Styela clava: one gene and its partners. The protein of the gene in region 3 purifies or fractionates together with the protein of the main gene of each other region. This does not show direct contact. Links are inferred from orthologs where the notes say so. Each region holds a gene or a part of one and is shown on either strand. Other genes may lie near its edges.

Evidence for each region. Proteins that work in one complex are often made in the same cells at the same time.
Region 1: the proteins of uncharacterized protein LOC120343829 (region 3) and MIF4G domain-containing protein B-like purify together in Homo sapiens (affinity purification with western blotting; 3 studies listed by BioGRID and IntAct, with this or other methods). This does not show direct contact. The link is inferred for Styela clava from reciprocal best matches to the Homo sapiens genes SLBP and MIF4GD.
Region 2: the proteins of uncharacterized protein LOC120343829 (region 3) and regulator of nonsense transcripts 1-like purify together in Homo sapiens (affinity purification with western blotting; 4 studies listed by BioGRID and IntAct, with this or other methods). This does not show direct contact. The link is inferred for Styela clava from reciprocal best matches to the Homo sapiens genes SLBP and UPF1.

What each region holds. Positions count from the first base shown.
Region 1 is NC_135262.1:16,893,052-16,898,349, forward strand, and holds MIF4G domain-containing protein B-like, read left to right. Parts: upstream 1-3,893; 5' UTR 3,894-3,898; coding exon 3,899-4,576; 3' UTR 4,577-4,782; downstream 4,783-5,298. Other genes in the region: RNA demethylase ALKBH5-like, read left to right, coding at 2,440-2,541; methyltransferase-like protein 22, read right to left, coding at 2,785-3,738; AN1-type zinc finger protein 1-like, read left to right, coding at 4,810-5,298. UniProt on the Homo sapiens protein: Functions in replication-dependent translation of histone mRNAs which differ from other eukaryotic mRNAs in that they do not end with a poly-A tail but a stem-loop. May participate in circularizing those mRNAs specifically enhancing their translation.
Region 2 is NC_135257.1:5,899,408-5,907,169, reverse strand, and holds the start of regulator of nonsense transcripts 1-like, read left to right. Parts: upstream 1-4,746; 5' UTR 4,747-4,821; coding exon 4,822-4,914; intron 4,915-5,263; coding exon 5,264-5,377; intron 5,378-5,829; coding exon 5,830-6,002; intron 6,003-6,819; coding exon 6,820-6,909; intron 6,910-7,762. Other genes in the region: growth hormone secretagogue receptor type 1-like, read left to right, coding at 437-572, 878-1,058. UniProt on the Homo sapiens protein: RNA-dependent helicase required for nonsense-mediated decay (NMD) of aberrant mRNAs containing premature stop codons and modulates the expression level of normal mRNAs.
Region 3 is NC_135254.1:1,516,885-1,524,501, reverse strand, and holds the start of uncharacterized protein LOC120343829, read right to left. Parts: upstream 3,023-7,617; 5' UTR 2,858-3,022; coding exon 2,661-2,857; intron 1,314-2,660; coding exon 1,222-1,313; intron 186-1,221; coding exon 55-185; intron 1-54. Other genes in the region: uncharacterized protein LOC120343828, read right to left, coding at 6,140-7,327. UniProt on the Homo sapiens protein: RNA-binding protein involved in the histone pre-mRNA processing.

The DNA of each region.
Region 1 (5,298 bases), on a different chromosome or scaffold from region 3:
ATTCGAATATCAAAGTATTCGAATACCAATTTGGCTGATTTTCGAATAATTACGAATAGTAGCCACTTTTCGCCCTAAACGTGGTGTTTCGTTTTAACGGGAATCTTCAAACGACTTTTTACGCTGTCTCACGTATTGTAATGACGATGAAATAGAATCGGCACTTTGATTGTTTATATTCTGTGAGACCATACGTCTCATAGTGTTGCGACACATTTGCACGTTTCCGTGGGTGGACATTGCCGTCATTCGTGTACGTGGCTTTTAATTTACAAATTCATTTCCATTACGTCGAAAAATTGAGAAAGTATGTTTATTTTATTTCTATGTGTCCTGCTTATTATTCGCATGAGTCTTCTCAAGCATGATTTGTGTAACCTTATATTTGGGTCTTAGGGTCTGCCAATCATGATATTTAATCGCAGGCTGGTTATCGTTACTTTAAAGAGAAACACGGCCACCGAGATAAAGTGATTTGTGACCCTTTCGTTTTGCCGATTCAGCAGAACAGGACAGGGATAGGAAAACATAGCTGTGAAATAACCCATGGACGTACAGTGTAGTACTTATCACATTCCAAAATTATTTTGACATTCGGGTTAATATGTTGTCTAAAATGATTGCCGCTTTACGACTTGAATTTACCACTCATTTGTTAAAAATAGTTAATTCTGTGAGTATGATTCTACCAAACTAACATGATCTGGTCCTTAACATATAAAATTATTAGCGCATATCAGCATTACTGAACAACAGGGACACAATTTGTCTACCCGTCTTATTGGAGGCCTATATGGAAAAACCCCTTTTATGAGTGCTAAAAATAGACATCGTCCTATTTGCCATGTGGACTTATTAGCCGGGAAATACGGTATTTATAGCCGTCATTGTTACGATATCTAATAAATTGTCACAAGTTGGAAAAACAAGGTCGATTTATTAGAAAATAATTTCTGGCAAATAATTCTGATAACGATAGTTATAAGTATCGATCCTTTACCAGGATGATTTTTTGTTGCGCAAAATAATCCAATCCATGACTGGTACCAGCATTTAAAATGTCATGCCGTATTAATTTAATTCTGTTCAACGTAACTCATGGTTGTATCGACAATCTGTGGACATAAAATGTGTGGTAAACTGACCGATATTATTAAATATTGATTCCTATTTTTATATTGATAAAATAATGAAAGTATTAATACCAAATACAACGGGTATTTGTGGACATGAAATACGTGGTAAACTGCGCAATCATAATTTATTTCGGATTCGTATTTACAAAATAATAAAACTATTATAATTCTAAAATGCAACGGCGATCTGTGGCCTTAAAATGTGTGGTGAACTGCCCGATTTACCAACATTTGAGTTATGATAATAGAATTGAATTAACACGGTAGGGCATTTTAATTAACCAATGGCAACCATTATCCAAATTAGTTCCCAAGAGCGGGATAAAGTATAAATTCTTTTTCCGACTTGTGACAATTTTTCGTGAGTACGAAAACTACCTATGAGTGGTAAACTACCCGATTATAAATAGTTTTTGATTCCTATTTTCATATTTATGAAATAATAAAAGTATTATTACTCAAACATACAACGGCGATCTGCGGACTTAAAATGTGTGGTAAAGTTCCCGAATATAATTAATTTTTGATTCCTATTTTCATATTTATGAAATAATAAAAGTATTATTACTCAAACATACAACGGCGATCTGCGGACTTAAAATGTGTGGTAAAGTTCCCGAATATGATTAATTTTTGATTCGTATTTTTGTATTCACGAAAAAATTGTTACAAGTCGGAAAAATACCTCATACTTTATCCCGCTTTTTGACAAATAATTTGGATAATGGTTGGTATTTAAAAGTATGGGCGTTTTACTAGGATGATTTTGTGTTGCGCAAATATTCAAATCCATCATCGATACCACTATTGTCGTATTAATTTAATTCTGTTAACATGACTCATGGTATATAAAATATATACTGCAATAATCTGCAAATATGAAATGCCTGGTAATTTGGCTAGGTTGTAACGTTAGATAGCAGTTATTCCATTGCTTATTGTATGGAAATTCCTACATACATTTAGATAAGCTTCAATTAGTGGATTTTATTTTCAAAGTATTCGAAATTTCATATTCGGAAAAAATAATTTCGAATGTATTCGAAATAGTGAACTATTCGATATTGGCCAACCCTGGTAACTACACCTCAAAAAGTATCCTTTGGAGCAAATGATTTTGATATATTTACAGAGATGTAACATCGAAGTAATATATGTAACAATATGCATAGAGATAGTATATGTAAGGAATGGCAGAAACACTGGACCAGGTAAAGAACGTTCACAAGTTCAACACTGATTGGCAATTTTAGTTTCAACGTTATCAAGTTGAATAATAATCATTATTCCATTTACTCATTAGGTCAAGAAGGATGATGGACACAAAGATTCTTCAGATTTGAAAACAAGTCAAAATATTATTGCGAAAAAGGCAACAAGGAGACCTAAACCATTTTTTCTATAGTCTTGGATGTTGTCAATGTGTATAATACAATTAACCAATATATTGTAATTTTTTCACCAGCAATAATTGTAAAAAGCAGGTTCCAGAAGTTATAAATTATTCTGTATATGCTTATGCGCAAGCATTTTATCTTTCAATTTAATCTCATTTGATTTTACTTCTATTCACTTTCTTTTTGTGCAAGTTCTGTACAATTTTCAAGTAAACTTTCAAAACAATAATACACTCATATAAAATATGTTGTTACAATTGTTTTTGAATCTCCCATATTTCTAATTGTTGAGTCTGATTGTATTGGCAGAACTGACTTATGTCTTCCATATCAATTCTTTGGACAGACAATGAAGATTGAAATGTATTCTCGAGTTCGCTCAGTTTGCATAAAAAATGATTGTACTCTTTGCAAGTGATATCCAAGTCCTCCAAAGTGAAGTTGAGTCTCTTCTCTGTAGAGATGTACACTTTTACAATTGAAGGTCGGCAACCTTCCTTGGTGTATGTGTCCCCATTCAGCAAGATTTGGAGAGTTTGAAAAAACGCATTTGTGATATCGTTGTCATAAATTACATCACATGCCATAATTATGTCAGGTTTGGGTATGCACAGTGATTTTATTGAAGTGGGCTTGTGCCAGTTCAGTTCCCTAATTTCGAAGCAGTGGGGAGGACTTTGAAAGATGTTTTGGTTTGCGTGATAATTCATTTCACAGAGACCCAAAATGTTCTCTCCAACGTCCGTGAGAGTGATTTTATTGGTTAATGTCCCTGCAACAATACCAGTCAGGCCAACGCCTGCCCCAAGTTCCAAAATCTGTTTATTGCGGAATAACTGAACGTTGTCTAACATGAAATCTATCATCCCAAGCGCTCCCATCCATACTTGTAAGCCAACGTCGGCAAGATGTGTTTCCATTGCATGGTGTATACGAAAATTGAGCGTTTGGTTCTGCTTGTCAAAGTTAGCTGCGCTTCTAGAAACAATCAAATCGCCGTCATCGTCATGGATCGAATCAGTTATTCCGAAAGATTTTTCAGTTCGCTCACTAACAATCTGTATCAAGCATCCAGGTAATTTTATGTGAAAATCGACAAGGTGGATTGCATATTCACCATGTTTCTTATTCAAAACTATTTGGGAATCTTTATCTCGATTTAACTGGACGTCGGAGAGTATCAACTCGTCCGCACAAGCGCACATCTTGCTTCTGTCACTCGGTGGCTCACAAAGCTGGTCTACGATTTCGCACTCGTGCAGAGCTGAAATCAGCTTTTCGCCCGATTTGCAGCTGCTGCTATGATTAACAAAGTGATTTTCTGCGTACTGTTGCTTTCAGTATTATTATTGGGGAAGCCAGGCTATGGAGCATAATATGTTAGAACAGCTTGGATTTAACAGGAAGAACAGAGATGCTGTAAGTAAAGCCCTGGGTGGCTGGAACACGAGCGGCAATAACCAACAAGATATCAGACCCCTAGTTGAAATTATTGTACTGCAAGCAATTTCAGATGTAAAATATGGAAGTAATGCTGCAAAACTGTGCAGCATATTTGTAGAAAATGAAGGCAAAATATCAAATGATACACGATTTCGGAACATTTTGCTCACAAAACTCCAAAGAGAGTACACCAACATCAGAACGACTGAAGAACATAATGAAGCCAGATTGATAGCATTTGTGACCTTTTTGAGTAGCATTTTTCACCACATCCGTATTGATGGGAGGGCACTTGTTGCTTTAGTAACTCCAGTGTTCGAGTGTTTGGCTTCTTTGGCAAGCGTGGCGAAGCAGAGCAATAAAAGAGAGGAAATTATTCAATGTTTGGTTATGCAAATACAACTTCATGGAGAGGAATTGGAAGGATTGAATGAGAAGAAAATGGCTGAACTATTTTGTATAATTCGCGAATTGTTTTTGTCAGAAACCACATCACAGCTTTCAAGATTGCTGCTGCTTGAAATTATTGAACTTCGAGCTGGAAACTGGAAATTGTCTTCTGATGCTAATACGTATTATTATGATACAAACAGCGTCTAATGTTATTATGCTTTATTTTTATATACGATTCTCAATGATACCTTATTTTTTTATGTTATTTCATTTAAACAAAATAATATATACCTATATTACATAAATAATTATACATAATCATAGTATCATTCAATTGCATACATTTTCATATTTATGTTGGGAGAATTAATTGATACTAACCGGTTATTATTTTTATAATTTCTGGTATCAAGGTACAAGATATTTAATTCATATAAGCTATGGCAGAACTCAATATTGGTAAACAATGCAGTTTACTTCAATGTCAGCGACTTGATTTCCTACCATTTGAATGTGATGGATGCTCTCAGATATTTTGTTTGGATCACAAGGGTAGAACTGCACATAGCTGTTCAGATGTCAACTATATTAAAGAAGGTTCCTCATTGACTAGAGTTACTCCCCTTCGTTCTTATAGTTGTTCACTTGAGGAATGCAATCAGAGCGATCTCGTACAAGTGGAATGTAATCTCTGTGGGAAGCATTTCTGTTTGAAGCATCGCCTTCCAGAGGATCATAAATGTCATCAATTAAAATCTGAACCACATCGAAAAGCTGGTATGCAAACATTTCAAACTTCTTCTACTAATCCAAAAAAGTCTGTATGTGATAATTCCAAAAAAAAGTCTGTTAGTAAGAAGAATCAAAAACTGTCTGCTAAGGTTGCTCTTATGAAACTGAAACAAAAGTCTGTTGGAGATAAAAATATT
Region 2 (7,762 bases), on a different chromosome or scaffold from region 3:
TTAAATAGGATTCCAACCTATTTAGGCAGTTGGATTTAAAAATACTTTCCATATCAATCAGAATGACCAACCCGAACTGATAATCTTGATTCGACATACCACTTCGAGTGTCACCGCTATTTGTGTAACAACTTTACGTATGCGTTGCAACGAAAGCTTTTATACACACAATATCGCATCTAAATTTTATATGAGTGATCAAATTTATGATACGTTTTAGATTGTTCAGTGGTCAAGATTTTTATTATTTGTCAAATAAAAAAATTGTAAGCAATCGCTATCATTATCTCTGTTATCATTGAAATTGAATATTTCTTACATCAAAGGTCGCCTAACTAGTATTTCTTATTCATTTTTATTTATTTGTTAACTTGTCTCAGGTTCCAAGGTGAAATTGTTCATTAAATACCATAAGATTGATTCTGCATTATTTTAGCCTACCGCATGACAAAAATATTGAATCTGAGGGACCTCTTCACTGTGCGAACGAAATGGTTGACTCTCACAGTCGCATATATTCTATTGCGAATATCAGAATGCCTTAATCCACTTTTTTACAACCTGTCATCCCGGTAAGTTTTTTCTATGCTTAAAAAATAAAGCCATTCTGTAGAGTTCGAACGGACCAGATCAAGCCTAACCTGAAATTCAAAATTTTATCGGGGTAGAACATTATGATAGACTATCTAATTCTTAAAAGTGGTTATTTCCTGCATTCCTGGTATCACCTGACAAAAAGTTGCAGATCGCAAACAGTGTTTATATTTCTTACCATCCAATTTCGGCGGTTATGAATTAGCAGAATGAAATTGAAAACTAAATTTCTTATTCATACAGCCCACTGAGAAAAAGAACTAAACGTTTTCTGAAAATACAGAAAAACTACGAATCGTCAGACAGCATCAACGTATCAGAAACAAAAGAAGAAAATGTCAGAAAAACAAGCGTTACCGTTGTGTAAATTAAACACCACCGGATATAAGCTGGGTGTCAAATATGAAATGTACACGGGAGTCACAACCAACTCATATAACCCAGATATGGCGATAAGAATGTAGCCCTTTGATGAGATAGAATTGAATGTGAATGTATTATTCATTTTATAGCAATGTGTTGTTTATATGTCTTGTTCGTGTGTATATAATATATCTGCTTCGTCGAATTGACCCGAGTGTATATTCTTATGACTTATGAAAACACATCAGAAACTCTTAATTTCAGTGCAGGAATGAACGTACTAAAATATGATCAATACCGTAGCCAGCCAAATTCTTATTGTGGAAAAGGGGGCAAACTTTTGTCTTGTACAATGACGTAATACGAACAATGCTTACTCGTGTCTTTTGCTCAGAACAAGGCTAGATAAAGCAGCCACTGATATCTAACGATGTTTTGACTCTGCACAACCTTACTTCGCTGTCGAAGGTATCCAAGCTAGGTAAGCGTGAGTTTCATCTATCGCAGTTGGTTCATTTGGAGAATGAAATATTGATGGTGAGGAAACGTCGGGTTTTTGGCCAATCGTTCGAGATTAGAACAAACTGGTGTTGAAAAATACGTGGAATTGATGTCTCGGTGTAAATGCCACAAAATTGCGGTTCCCAAAGTAGAAGTCGCGAGCAGTAAAAATGGGTCGCATTACGGGGATTCAATCTGTCAAAACAAACTTTCTCTTTTCATTTTACAATGTATATATGTATGTATGTTTGTTTGCCTCAAAAATGTAACAATATTTGCATAATAATTAAACGGTATAACAGAGACGGGATACATGTTCAAGACCTTACTGGCCTAAGACACAGATGTGCGACATAGGATAGGATTTACATATTTATCCCGGGAGAGAGGAAAGTCGATAAGACGACTTAATCATAGTCCGAACCACGGTCTCTCGTCCGGTTACCATTTCAGGTCGGGTATGGGATTGGTTAGCCAGTTATTTGTTTTCGGAAGCATGGACTTGATGGCGGAGGAGGCGTAACGGACGAGCGGTTACGTGAACCACCCTACGGCGGCGAGGAGTCCAGCAATTCTCTCGCACATAATCATCCCCGCATGGGATTCGGACCTGCAAACCCACGCAAGGTAATCAGAGATGCGGTGGCAAGCGTATTCCTAACGCTTAGCACGATGCGCCACATTGCCGAGCCCATGTACCCCAACAAGTTCTTTCCATTTCATCATTATCGCAACATGTGGCTCCGAGCAGGTTTGAAGTTGATGGAAAAATGGCTTCTACAATACTGAAGGTTGCCGAGTGCCGACCCGTAGTTTATGCCAATAATTATTCATACCCTTCACCGGTTTTAGTCATTGACGTGTACGGCTTCAGCTAATTCTTAAGATTGTGATATTCCAAGAACTCCACAAGTCCATGCATCTGAAAACAAAAAATAACTGATTCCATAAACCACATGGACTGTTAACCGGACGAGATTCCATGATTCGCCATATGATTAAACCGTCTTATCGGCTTTCCTCTCCCCCAGGATAAATATGTAAATCTTATCCATTCATGGACTTCCATTTGTGACATAATTTTTTTCCCAGATGGTACATTTTGCGTCGTTTATACCTAACATTTAGAGACTGTGACCAGTAACTAAACTTAGGCTAGAAAGACATTGCAAATAATATTAATAAAGAAGAAGAAGACATTCGCATTCTAATAAAATGATGATGACATAATTGCGCTTTTCCATAATTCGCGATAACCCCCATAAAACCAGAAACGCCAGAAAAACTCATAACCCGCGGGCAATAAAACCACGGCTTGCTTACCTCGCCCTCGGCACGTGCTCTGTTATCATCAATCTATATTTCATTTATATAATTGTTGAATATGTAGTGATGTAATAAAAATGCATTGTGTCGTCATTGAGGCTATGCTAAATTTGAATTTTTCGAGTTATAAACAATTTCGAGTCTCAATCTCAAGTACGTTTCGTTCTTGCTCGAGAATGGTGAAGTCATTCAGCGTATGTTTATGGAAGTGTACTTGCGCAACATTCTAAACCTCGTTTACACATTGCGTTTACACCATATGATCATGCAGTTGGATACTCTTCCATTAGGTGGTGTTTTTTAGTTGGACATTCTGCTGATATTTGCCAGAAGGTTACGGAACTTCCCCCAGTTTGTCAGATTTAACGTTATCTGTTAAACTGCGACCGGTGCCTATGCGAGCAGAAACCCCTACTGAATTAGGTAGTACCGGTACCGATACAGAATTAGCCTACGCGATGTTTTTAGTAGCCTATCACTTGCGACCTGGGCATTGCAGAAGATAACAGACAATTCTGTTCAGATACCGTAACTTAGAGACAAATGCTGAAAGGCCGTTCAGATTTAGGATTGATCCACGGTCAGGCGGTGCTCCTGTCCTGTTTGTGTTCGAAAACACAGATAAACATTACCGGTATATTAGTGGTATTAGGCACAGTACTGTATGGGAGGAAATTGCTTGTTTATCAGTTTATAGACTATGTTTTGACATACAGCAGTACAGACACTTCTGCACTTAGTACAGTAAACGAATCTATAAATTGATCAGCTGTCATCATCTTTAATAAGCCAATTAATATTGAAATAATTAAACAAAAGTGCCAAAAAGATGCACACAATACCGGTACCAGTATCCTTCTCTTGCTGTCTTGATATGTAGACTATGTATGTTTATTGGGTCTTATTACTTACGGTACTGAATAGAGCGCAGAAGAGATGGGGAAACATTTTCTTTCATTGTTTATTAGCTTTCGTGAAATTTTAAACAATTTGATGGGAAGCAGTAGCGGTATACAGTAGTACTGTAGTAGGGAATGATCACGAGTTTATATCATTAATCTTCAACATCTTTAAATAGCCTCACATGACGCACCCTAACCTACTGCGTTCAGGTTGTGCGCTAGCTTGGTGCACATGAAAGAAAAATGTTTCCCTCTCTTCTGCGCTGTTTTTCACGCACTTTCCCTCTCTTCTGCGCTGTTTCGCGCTCTATTCAGTAAGTACGGTAGTGAGACCGATGTTTATTTGCCTCAAAAATGTAACAATATCTGCATGATAACTAAACAGTAACAGATAATTAAACAGAAACAAAATCTCAATAAATATCTATCACAAACAGCGAAGTTTCAGAATAGTCTATTTCCTTGAAGAAGTTGCCTAAAACTCAGAAAGTAAAGATAAAAGACACAGTTCTCCCATTACAGCATTACAGCATTACAAAATGTCCCTATATTTAATTATTTGGAATCCGGTACTTTATTTCAATAAAAAATAATACTCTATTAATAGTCTCTGAAATGAGGGCGTCTGGCACTGCGGCAGATCACGGCATGTATCTATAATAATTTAACATGCTTCAGCCGCCAAAATTCTACTGTAAAATTTTTTTCCTCCATTAAATCTGATTTTTTGTTTCGAGGAATCGAATGGTAACGTTTTTAAATCACGCTTCCTTCCATTTTATTGCGCGGTGTCTGTTTGCCAATAGGGAGGCCCAGACTTCCTCATAAAGAAGAAGTCTGCACTCACTTCATTAGTACAGTAGTATAATTGATGTCTGGATGTAGAGTCTATTCTTGGAATAGGAGAACTGTGTCGTACTATTACTCGAACATATTACTCACAAAGCTACATGTTTGACTATCGATGGGTCTAAATTAGACCAGGTTTATTACTGGGAAGAACTAGACTGTTATTCTTTCCCATTCTGGTTATTTAAACGTTGCCATAAATTAGTTCAGTAAAAATTTGAATTTGAATCAGATATATACAGATAAAACTGAAATTGTGAAATAGCGAGGACAGTTTCTGATTGTAATGAGCAGCGTTGATGCATATGGGCCAAGTTCCCAAACTCTGACATTTTTGGACACAGAAGATGGCGATTTGACTGTTGGAGGAGATACCCAGGTGAGAGACGCTTGTTTGAAATTATTTTAAATATATCAAAACAACCGGAATCAACTGCACTTCACCTCTCAGGACACAGTACAACTTGAAAATTATTTTGTAATTGGTTACGGTCTGAATCAAGTGGATGGGGTGCAACTTATAACTCTGATACAGTTATAGGCATAAATATATAATTATAGACATATTTATTCAAGTTTTAATAAAACTAATACTTTGCTACTGTGAGTTGCTCTTATCAATTCATTGATTTAATCATGATTTAACTGTGTTTTTAAATACAGAATTGCTTAAAGTAAAAATTGCTACAGTATCACAAAGTAATATTCAAAAAAATTCTGTTATTCAGGCAAGTGAATATGAGTTCACAGACTTCACAATTCCATCCCAAACCCAGACGCAAACTCAGACACAGCAAAGTCAAGCAAGCCAACTTGATATTGCAGAGAACAGTCAGAGTCAGGTAACTCTTTATTCCATTATAAGTCATATGCTAAAAGTATTTTAACATGGTAATAAGTTGGGAGAATTATAACCAGAAATGACTGTGTTAATCTTGAAACAATGATGAAGTTTGCCTACGACTTCATACAAGAATAATTTTTCATTCAATTCTGCTCTTTTGTTATAATTTGTGATTTTGTTTAGCATTGGCTTGACAATGTGAGTGATCTCGTTTATATTTCAATTCGACAGAGTCATATGCAAACGATATGTTTGACAACTGCGTACTCGTGTTTTATAATCATCAATGAGCAGTGAACATTATACCAATACTATCAGGACTGCTTCTGGTAGAAGAACTCGAAATCAATTTCTCAATCTTTTTTTTGTGATTTCTCTCAACTACGAATTATCTAGATCAGGGTTGTCAAACCCGCAGACCAAATATTATCAAGTTTTATCTCCATTAAGGTTGGTGATGTAGATGGAGTCAATCACAATGAAGAAGTGGGGGATGGTGAAGATATTGGTGGATTACAAGAACATATTCATGTTGCCACCCAGGGGGTTGCTGATCTGAGATTTGAGGAAGAAGACGAAGAAGATACTTATTATACTAAGGATCTTCCCGAACATGCTTGCAGGTGAATTTTTTATTAACAAGCACATGATTAAAAAATAATTGAATGCTCGGAGCTTTTATTATTATTTTATCTGTTTTTGTTTCCTGATTTCAAACAGTGGGGATAATTTTATGAAAAAATTTTGTTTGTCAAGCATAGGCCTCATAGCGCCTAGTAATATATTTAATAAAATGATAGAAGTTTATGTTACTTACACATATTTCTTAGCAGCAATATCTACTAAATTTTGTGCCTGTGCCTCCTATGTGAAGAGAAACGATCACCCTGAATTAATCATAAAATACTGCATTTTGACATGAGTTAAATTCAGTTCATTAGTTCAATTCTTGCCAAATAATGATTTGATTATGCATATAAGCTTTGTTATTATTATGTAGGGTCAGCCTGCAGTACTGTTTAAATTTCATCATACAGACTGTTCGGTACAGACAGATTTTTAAAATTCATGTAATTAGCTTAATACTCCTACTCAGTGAAATAAGGTGAAAGAGGTTGCTCAAACACATCTGGGGCTAATATGATTGACAAATCATTAAGCTTTCTACCTAGATGCTGCTTATTAAACCCGCTTTCTCGTATTTTCGCATCTGTTCAAATGAGAAATATGAAAATGAAAAATAAGTTGTGGCCATCCTTGAGGTGCTATGAGAAAAATTCCAGGCAATTTTCGAGACTGCTGTATAAAAAGAAGCCTTTCATATTTATTAATATCATCATTTATTATTAAACTCACCATCACTATTTTCCTGAATATATATTCATATAAGAATTAGGTATATATCAAAAGGTTTGTCGCATTAACAACTGTAATTTTTAGGTATTGTGGAATTCATGATCCTAACTGTGTTGTGATGTGTAATACAACAAAGAAATGGTTTTGCAATGGCCGTGGAAATACTTCAGGAAGGTAACATGATATTTTATAAAATTATTTTTTCTTCGAATCATTGATTTGCAAGGGTTAATTACTAATTTCTGGTTACCCTCAGCCGTTTTTTTTTTAAATTTCAGTATTTGCTTAATGCTCCAGTTCGATCGTGATTTAACATACCATATCATCCAGGTTTAATAATAGACACTTGAGCAATACTTCAAAATCACCATATTTGATATTTATATTTTGTAAGAAATAAAATTTACTTTGTTTTGTCCATCTCAATTTTTATTTGTACAATTTATTTTACAGTTGTCCTTACTACTAGAAAAATGTCATACACAATAATTGCAATCAATTAGTGATTTTGAATGAGTTATTATTTCAGATTCACAATTGTTATGTGCAATCTCTGTTATGGAGTATAGATTTATCAGCTTATTATATTGATTTTATGCTTACTTTTTGCATTAATAATCTGTTGAAAAGTAGATTAGTTATTCTAATCAAATATGATATGAACAAGCAATCAATTTTTTTACTCTGATATTGTTTGTATTTGTTTTCTCTGAAGCGAGTATTAAGTGATAAATTGATTCAGATATTTCGAGTCCATTTGAAATTTTTGGTGTGCTATGTTGCAAAATATTATGAGTTTGTCATCTTACCCTTTACTGTCTTTAATAAATTGATCAAATAATTAAGGTTAAATTCAGGTATATTATTTTGGCTGTATAAGGCAGTGCCAGGGAATAAACTATCCCTGTGTTCAAAGGATATTAATGGTTTGAACAAAATCCAAATCAAAGATATTTTATGTAGCCTACTTCAATACAAGGATTTATATTATTGAAATCCATTTTTTGTACTAAAATTTTAAATCAAA
Region 3 (7,617 bases):
GGAATCTAACTCTGTCCAAAAATTTTTGACAGTGTCACTAAACGAAGGTCTTACCTCATCATCTTCAATTTCGTTTCCATCTGAGCTGCCAGAATATTTCAATTTCTTTTTATATGTTTTGACTTCCGCAGTCTCGCGCTCTGATTTCTCCATCATGTTGACCCAGGAACTTGTAGATTCTTCAACTAAATAGAAGGAAGTTAGGAATATGGATTTCAAATCTGAGAAGTTCGGTCTGTTTTTCTATCGTATTTTTTTAAAGGAATTACAAGCACTCTTACTCAGAAGTGAAAATGACTCATCTCTGAGTAAAATTACGAGAACTCATTCAGAAGTAAAGGAGACTCGTCTCTGAGCAAAGTTATGAGTACTGTCTCAGAAGTAAAGGAGACTCATCTCTAAGCAAAGTAACAGGCACTCACTTAGAAGTAAAGGAGACTCATCTCTGTGCAAAGTAACAGGCACTCACTTAGAAGTAAAGGAGACTCATCTCTAAGCAAAGTTACAGGCACTCACTCAGGAGTAAAGGAGACTCATCTCTGAGCAAAGTTACGTGCACTCACTCAGAAGTAAAGGAGACTCGTCTCTGAGCAAAGTAACAGGCACTCACTTAGAAGTAAAGGAGACTCATCTCTAAGCAAAGTTACAGGCACTCACTCAGAAGTAAAGGAGACTCGTCTCTGAGCAAAGTAACAGGCACTCACTTAGAAGTAAAGGAGACTCAGCTCTAAGCAAAATTACGGGCACTCACTCAGAATTTCAAAAACAAAATCTTTGACAAAACCTAAAATAGTATCAAGTTGACCGACCAACAAATTCAAACAGACAAACGAAAAAGGACCGTGTGCACTTTTTTTGCTCAAAATTTGATTTACGTTGAGTTGAAAATTTCAGTTAAAAACATTCTTGGGATGTGAGGTCTATCACATAATTTGCTTTAACACACTAGGCCAGGGGTAAGCAACAGGAATCCCGCAACCAGTCACGACAAGTCATTTTCAAATTTTCAAAGGGGGGGGGGGGGGGTCTTGGGGGGTTCTGAAAATTTCAAGTGTCTCACTAAAATAATAAATAAATCAAATTTTGCATTGTGAGAATTTTTTTATTCTTTGGCTACATGGAACATCCAATTTTTTTGTGTGGCCCAAGCTAGATATAACCAAGTTGGTTATATGGTTCACCGAAAAGTTGAACATTCCTGAACTTGGCCAATAAACTCACCCGTCAAGCAATCATCGTCTGAATCTGTGGCTCGTTTCCGCAAAGGAACCCTCGTCTCTTCGTCTTTGCTTGTGTATTCTTTACTGTTGAATCTAAATTTATTTAGACAGAATTATGACTATTATCACAGGTAAGAAAAGCAGTATAAAATTCGAGGAATATTCCGTAAAAATTTATTTTGGCGTAATTATGAATATCGTCACAGGTAAGAAAAGCAAGCATACAATTCGGGAAATGTTCCCCAAAGTTCATTCAATAAATCTCTGGTTGTGTATTGTTTACTGTTGAATGTGAATTATTATGGCGGAATTATGTTAACCGCCATGATTAAGAAAAGCAATATAAAATTTTAGGAATAGTGCGTAAAAAAAATTTTCTTGGCGGAATTATGACGACTGACATAGGTATGAAAAGCAGTATAAAATTCAAGAAATATTCTGCCTAATTTATTTAATGTGAAAATCTTTTTTTCAATCTTCACCTTCGAATTTACAAGTATCGTGATTGGCGGAATGATGTTGACTTTTACAGGTTTGAAAACCAGTATAAAATTTAAAAAATATTCCGCAAAATTTATTTTTAATAAATCTCTCGTGTATTTCTTACTGTTGAATCAAAAAGTATATTTCTTGGCAGAATTATGTGGACTGTCTCACCTCTGAATAGTAGTATGAAATTTTAGATATAATTCGCAAAATTTATTTTAAAGTATTGGGAGTCGGAATTTATATTTCAGAAATTTAATGGTGATAAACTTATATATAATTTAGCCGGATCATTTTTGCCTTTAATTTTGTTTATAGATGACTCTTAACTTCTGAGAGTGCATATGACATTACTTTGAGCTATTTTTTTAATAGTTCACGACATTTCAGTGGTTATTTTCACGAAATTTTGCTAAAGGTGGATTCCCTTCTGAGTGGATGTTCCAGAAAATTGCGTCAATAAGAAAAAAAGAGAATATTGGTCAGAGACCGAAGACTTATCGATGGAAAGTTAGGGGATCCCCCAAAACAGCGCTCTTACTCCATAGTGACACATTGTGTCCCATCACTAATTAATTAATTACTCGCTAATTATACGACATAATTCGCCCAAAATCAATAGGCTTCTGGTCCGAGATAAGATGAATGCACATGCAAAATCTGGAGCAGATTCAATCTCGCTTTCGTGAGATATCGCGTGCATCTAACAGACAAACAGATACCTATCAACATACTTACTGATTAAAATCGATAAGTAATAACACAAATATGTTTCTGTTAATGTGCAGCAAGGCTATTGAATCACTCAAAATATCCATAGTTATTCTCGCTACAGTATCCTTGCACTCAGACGGATCCGCCGGCACAAAAGCATAGAAGAAGGATAAGTAGTTAGTCTCGCAGAAACCAAATCATTGTCTCGCACAAAAAAAAAATTGAAAAATTAATATATACCTGGACTGTGACCATCTTCTCCCCCTTTTATCAGAGTCAAGGTCATTTGTAGGTCGTATCGGGCTTCTCAAATCCAAGAGTTCATTTTCTTTCGTATCACCACGACGAGATGAATACCTTGTCGGTTTTTCTTTCGGACTTTCAGTATAAAAACGCCGCCTGTCACGCATCGGTAGATTTTCTTTAGGTGACTCCATTTAAAATATATGGGAATACGGAGGAAAATCACAACACAATAAATTGACAGAATCCACTCATTCAGTTGCAAGCACAAAAAAAGTATTTTTTTCAGTAATGTTAATTTCCAAATCTTTTTTCTTCGTTTCTGTGATTATATCCAAAAATATCTTCCTTTTTAGGTATTTTATGATAAAATCTATAAAAAAAGGTACATTTTCGTTTTAAAATGCAACAATCACGAGACTTTTTAAAACATTTTAACCTTGGTGAAAGTATAAAATCGGACATTTTTACAAAAACACAATAATGATTCAATTACATTCAAAATAACAAAGTATAAATCCCAGGGTGAACTGAAGCTGAATTATGTAGGGCAGGGGTTCTCAACCTGGGGTTCACGAGAAGATTTCCAGGAGTACTTGGATGGCAGTCGAGTTTTTGTGTGATGATCCTTTTCAATATCCTTTATTACTACCCTAGGAAAATGCGTGTCGTGTCCATTGAAACTAGATGCCAATTTGATTGATGGTAGATTTTCCCTGATGTTGCGTTGTTGTGATTGTGGCGCAACAATGTGAAATTCAAGGTTTTGCATGCAAACTGTGAAATCTCTAAAGCTGGGAGCATTGGAGAAGTGATTATGCTTATTGAAACTTTGGAAAGATTTTATAAATTCATTAGTTAGGCAGACGGCAAGGGCAATACTATCAACAAGACGATTTATTTAAGTTACATAAGGTCAATAAATTGGTGTTGCAACAAATTGTTAGTCAATATATCACAACTTTGTTCGGTGTCTGATTTCCGGGGGTTCGCATTGATTGTTTCGTGACTCGGGGGTACTTGACAGAAAAAAGGTTGAGATCCCCTGATGTAGAGTATTTAAATTCGCAAAATTATCATTTTGCGATATCAAATCCTAACGGGTATAGCAGTGGTTCTCTTCATAAAGCTGGGCCTCCTTTTTTGAATTTGTCTGGCGCACTATCTTAAAATACCTATTTAATAATGAGCAGAAATTTAACCCGTTTAACATGTGTCACTATAGTTCAATTTTAATTCTAGCAGCAATGAATGATGATGCTGATTATTCATTCATTAGAATTTCCATTCTAATTATTAGGGCGAAAGTGTATTTTTTTGCACTCAAATATTTTTCATTTTTCTCTTGCATAAAAAAGTTAGACCACAGAAGTTTGTGCAACAAAAATGCGCCACTAATGGAAAAAGGTCAAGAACCACTAGTTCAGACAATCAACTTTAAATTTTGCCATTTGTTTATAAAATCGTGAACACTAGCAGAATACAGTCAAAATCTATGTTTATTCAACTTTGAAACATTCTCTGTTGAAGATAATGAGTTTTCATGCAATTTGTTTATAAAATCGTTAAACACTGGCTGTCCATAGAACAAAAACTAAAAAAGAGAGATAATCAAACACATAATTAGCAAGAGTGTCATGAGTCCTGAACAAGGCTTTGTAAAAAAATTACTGAAACACGTTCACAAATAAATTCCCATTAAACTTGAAAAATAAAATAAAAATGGCGCAGCTAGAAGTTTCAAAAGCCCTTCTTGAAAATTCCAGATGATCAAAAAGCGAATCGGTCTGTAAATGTGTGGCTAGTATAAACAGATTCTTTATTATACAATCATCGTTGACAAGGCGCTTATTAACATAGGTAAAGGAGATTGAAAGTCCTGGCTGCGTCTGTGAGTCTGACTTCAAATGCCACAAATGATAGTAATCGGTAGAACAGACAAGCGAGAAATCAATAACACATAAAAACTATCACAAATTCATATCAATAAAATTTTGAACAATATAACGAAAACTGAGATGATTCTTTATCTTAAAACATGTAACAAGAGCATGATTTTTCCAAACTTTACAAAATACAAAAAATAATGACATTGTCTGTAACTTTCGTTTGAAATATATTTGTATAAGTAAGATAAAAGACTCTTGTCTAGTTCACTCTTGCATTATATGGGTCCACCAGTGTAAAAGTATAGAAGAAGGATAAGTGGTTGGTCCCAAGAAAACCAAGTAGCTCAAGTTTTCAATTTCCCTCTTTTTGGGTCAGTTTTAATTATTTCAAATATAGATTCTGAGCAGAAATCATGAATTTTATAGAAAACTTGTAATTACAGTTACTGAATGCATGAAATATATTTTTTTCTATTAGGTTTACCTTGAAATTCCATTTGAACAACATTAATAAGAACAAAGCAAGAATTATTTTTTAAATTTTCTCTGCTTTATGGTATAGTTTCTGAATATGGAATTTTTACTTTACCAAAATGAGCAATTTCTATAACAAAAAAAAATGATTCACTAAAATTAAAAAACAAAACAATAATAAAAGTCGAGCAATTGATAGCCATAATATACATATAGTGAGTCCACGGGCTTTTGAAATCATATTGCCGCAGTAATACAAAAGTACAGATGCCATATTTTTAAGAAATATATTTTTTGATCATCTATCAATAGAAAACCATGGGCCATCTTTAGGTCTGGGTTTAAACCTGTACCTGTTTTAGGTTTTACTTTAGTTAGTGCGTCATGTCAATATGTAGGTTTTCTTGTACAGATTGAAATATGAAATTTTCTCAAAACTTTAATACGTGACGTGAGCTAAAATGGTTTTACTGCAACGATAAAGTATTAATGTTCTGATAGACTATTCCCAGTTATCCACCCCCCCCCCCCCCCCATTCAAAATTCCAGCGGAATCTGGAATTCCTAACACCACCCAAACTGGTATTAATTATTAGTAATGAGTAGAGAGTAACTGAAAAAAGTTCATTCTGATTTATTTTTCATATCTCACTATCAGATGTCAATTGATCAACATGGCTAATTATCAAATAAAACTTCTGACTTATTCCTAAAATCAGAAAATTACTTTTCTAAATAGACCTATTTTGATGTTTCTAAATGTTTAATTCATTTTTGATCGAGTTATTTGAAGTAAAATTCCAAATACAAAATGATTGAGATGCATATATGATTATTCAACTAGGCTTGATGTAATTCTTGTGTCAAAAATACTGCCCCCACCCCCCTCAATAAAAAATATCCTCCACTGGATATTGCAAGCAAACAGTTTTAAATTTTCATACAAAATTGTCAAAATTAGGAAGTGATGATTCATCACTAGTAGTAAAGCATGACTAATCAAATATTTGATGTGAAGTTTTTGAAAAGTTTTTAGGCTGTTTCACGAGAAACAGTGCAGTCTCATTAGTTCTTCAATATTGGGTCGTAACCATGGCAACCTTCTCCCTCAGCTCAAGATATTATTTTTTTCACGGTTTCTTTTATGAACCCTTTTTTGTCTGTGAGGTCGAACTCTGGGTATTGTTCGTAAACTTGCAAGATGACAGCTTTCATTGTCAAAGCTCCGAGATCAGCATCTTGAAGACAATTTTCGATGAACTTACGGACTTCTGCGTTTGACGGCGGCGTTTTCTGTTTATGCATGAGCGGCTCGTCATCTGATGTATCATCATCCATCCCCGACGTTTTTTTCGACTTTGATTTCGGTTTTGTAATCTTAATTTTCGCTTTTTTATTTGGAGTTGACTTTTTAGCAGGTATTTTCAAAGGCGTTTTTTTCTTTTTTTCGTCTGCGATTTCTTTTTTCTTGCGCTTTTTTACTGGCGTAGCACCATCGGAAGTTGCGTCCCCATTTTCAACAGCATTCGCACTTCGTTTAATTTTTTTGGTTCTCTTTTTTTTCTGTGTGGGATCCTTCTTTTTCTTTTTTTCCGGTACCGGTTTATCCTGCGGTTTCGGACAGAGACACCAAGCCATGAAAGCATCGATCAATTCTTCTTTATTCCCTTTAATGCTTGGAACGTCGCAGACACTCATGGCCCATTTCAAATTATCGACTGTGAATTTGCCGATAAACTCTTCCTTTTTCTCGTACTCTGGGGTACCTTTTTGTATGTTGAAGCCGCAGAATTCTCGAATATTTTTCTTGCATGCGAGATGTGTGCCTTGTACGTTATAAAAAAATTTGTGAATAATTTTTAAATCCTCTGCAGAGTTACGTTGTAGTTGATATTCCACACGAGGGTGATTACCGATGCGGATCCCACTGCCTTTCGGTATTTCAACATTCTTTTTCTTGTCAACAGCGGGACTAGTTGCCTCGTCATCGTACGTGAAACGTTTAATTTTCTTTCGCTCTCTTTTTGCCTCTAGAATTTCAACAGGCCGCTCTAAAAGCCCGGGAGGAAGGGACTCATCAGAATCACTGTCACTTTGTTCATCATCGCCCACAATTGCGTCTGATTTTTCCGCATTTATTGAAGAATCCACAATTGTCGATTCATCTGCGACGCTCTGCTCTGTTTCTGATTGGTCAACTTTTTGTGTAAGCTCTGCCTTGGGTTCTGTTTCTACCTCTTGAGCCTCTGGCTCCACCTTTTCTTCATGCTCCACTGCCTTTCGTGGTTCTGTCTCGGACATGCTTGGTTGAATTATTTTTAAAAACTAAAGCTAAAAACAAATCTAGAATTTAAGAGAAAAACAGGATCAGTTATAAAATCTAGCAAAGAATAATTCAGAACTGATATTTTATAAATTATGATAATGCAACAAAAAAATTGAAAGTAACAGTACTTTAGTAGGGTTCCATATGCTCGCTCTGAGCAAGGCCCTGAACACGTAGTAAAGAGCGTTATCTGACAAAAAATATTCTGTATGATATCTTAGAAATTACCATAAAGAGAGCAAACTAACCATAAGGCAACAGTAAT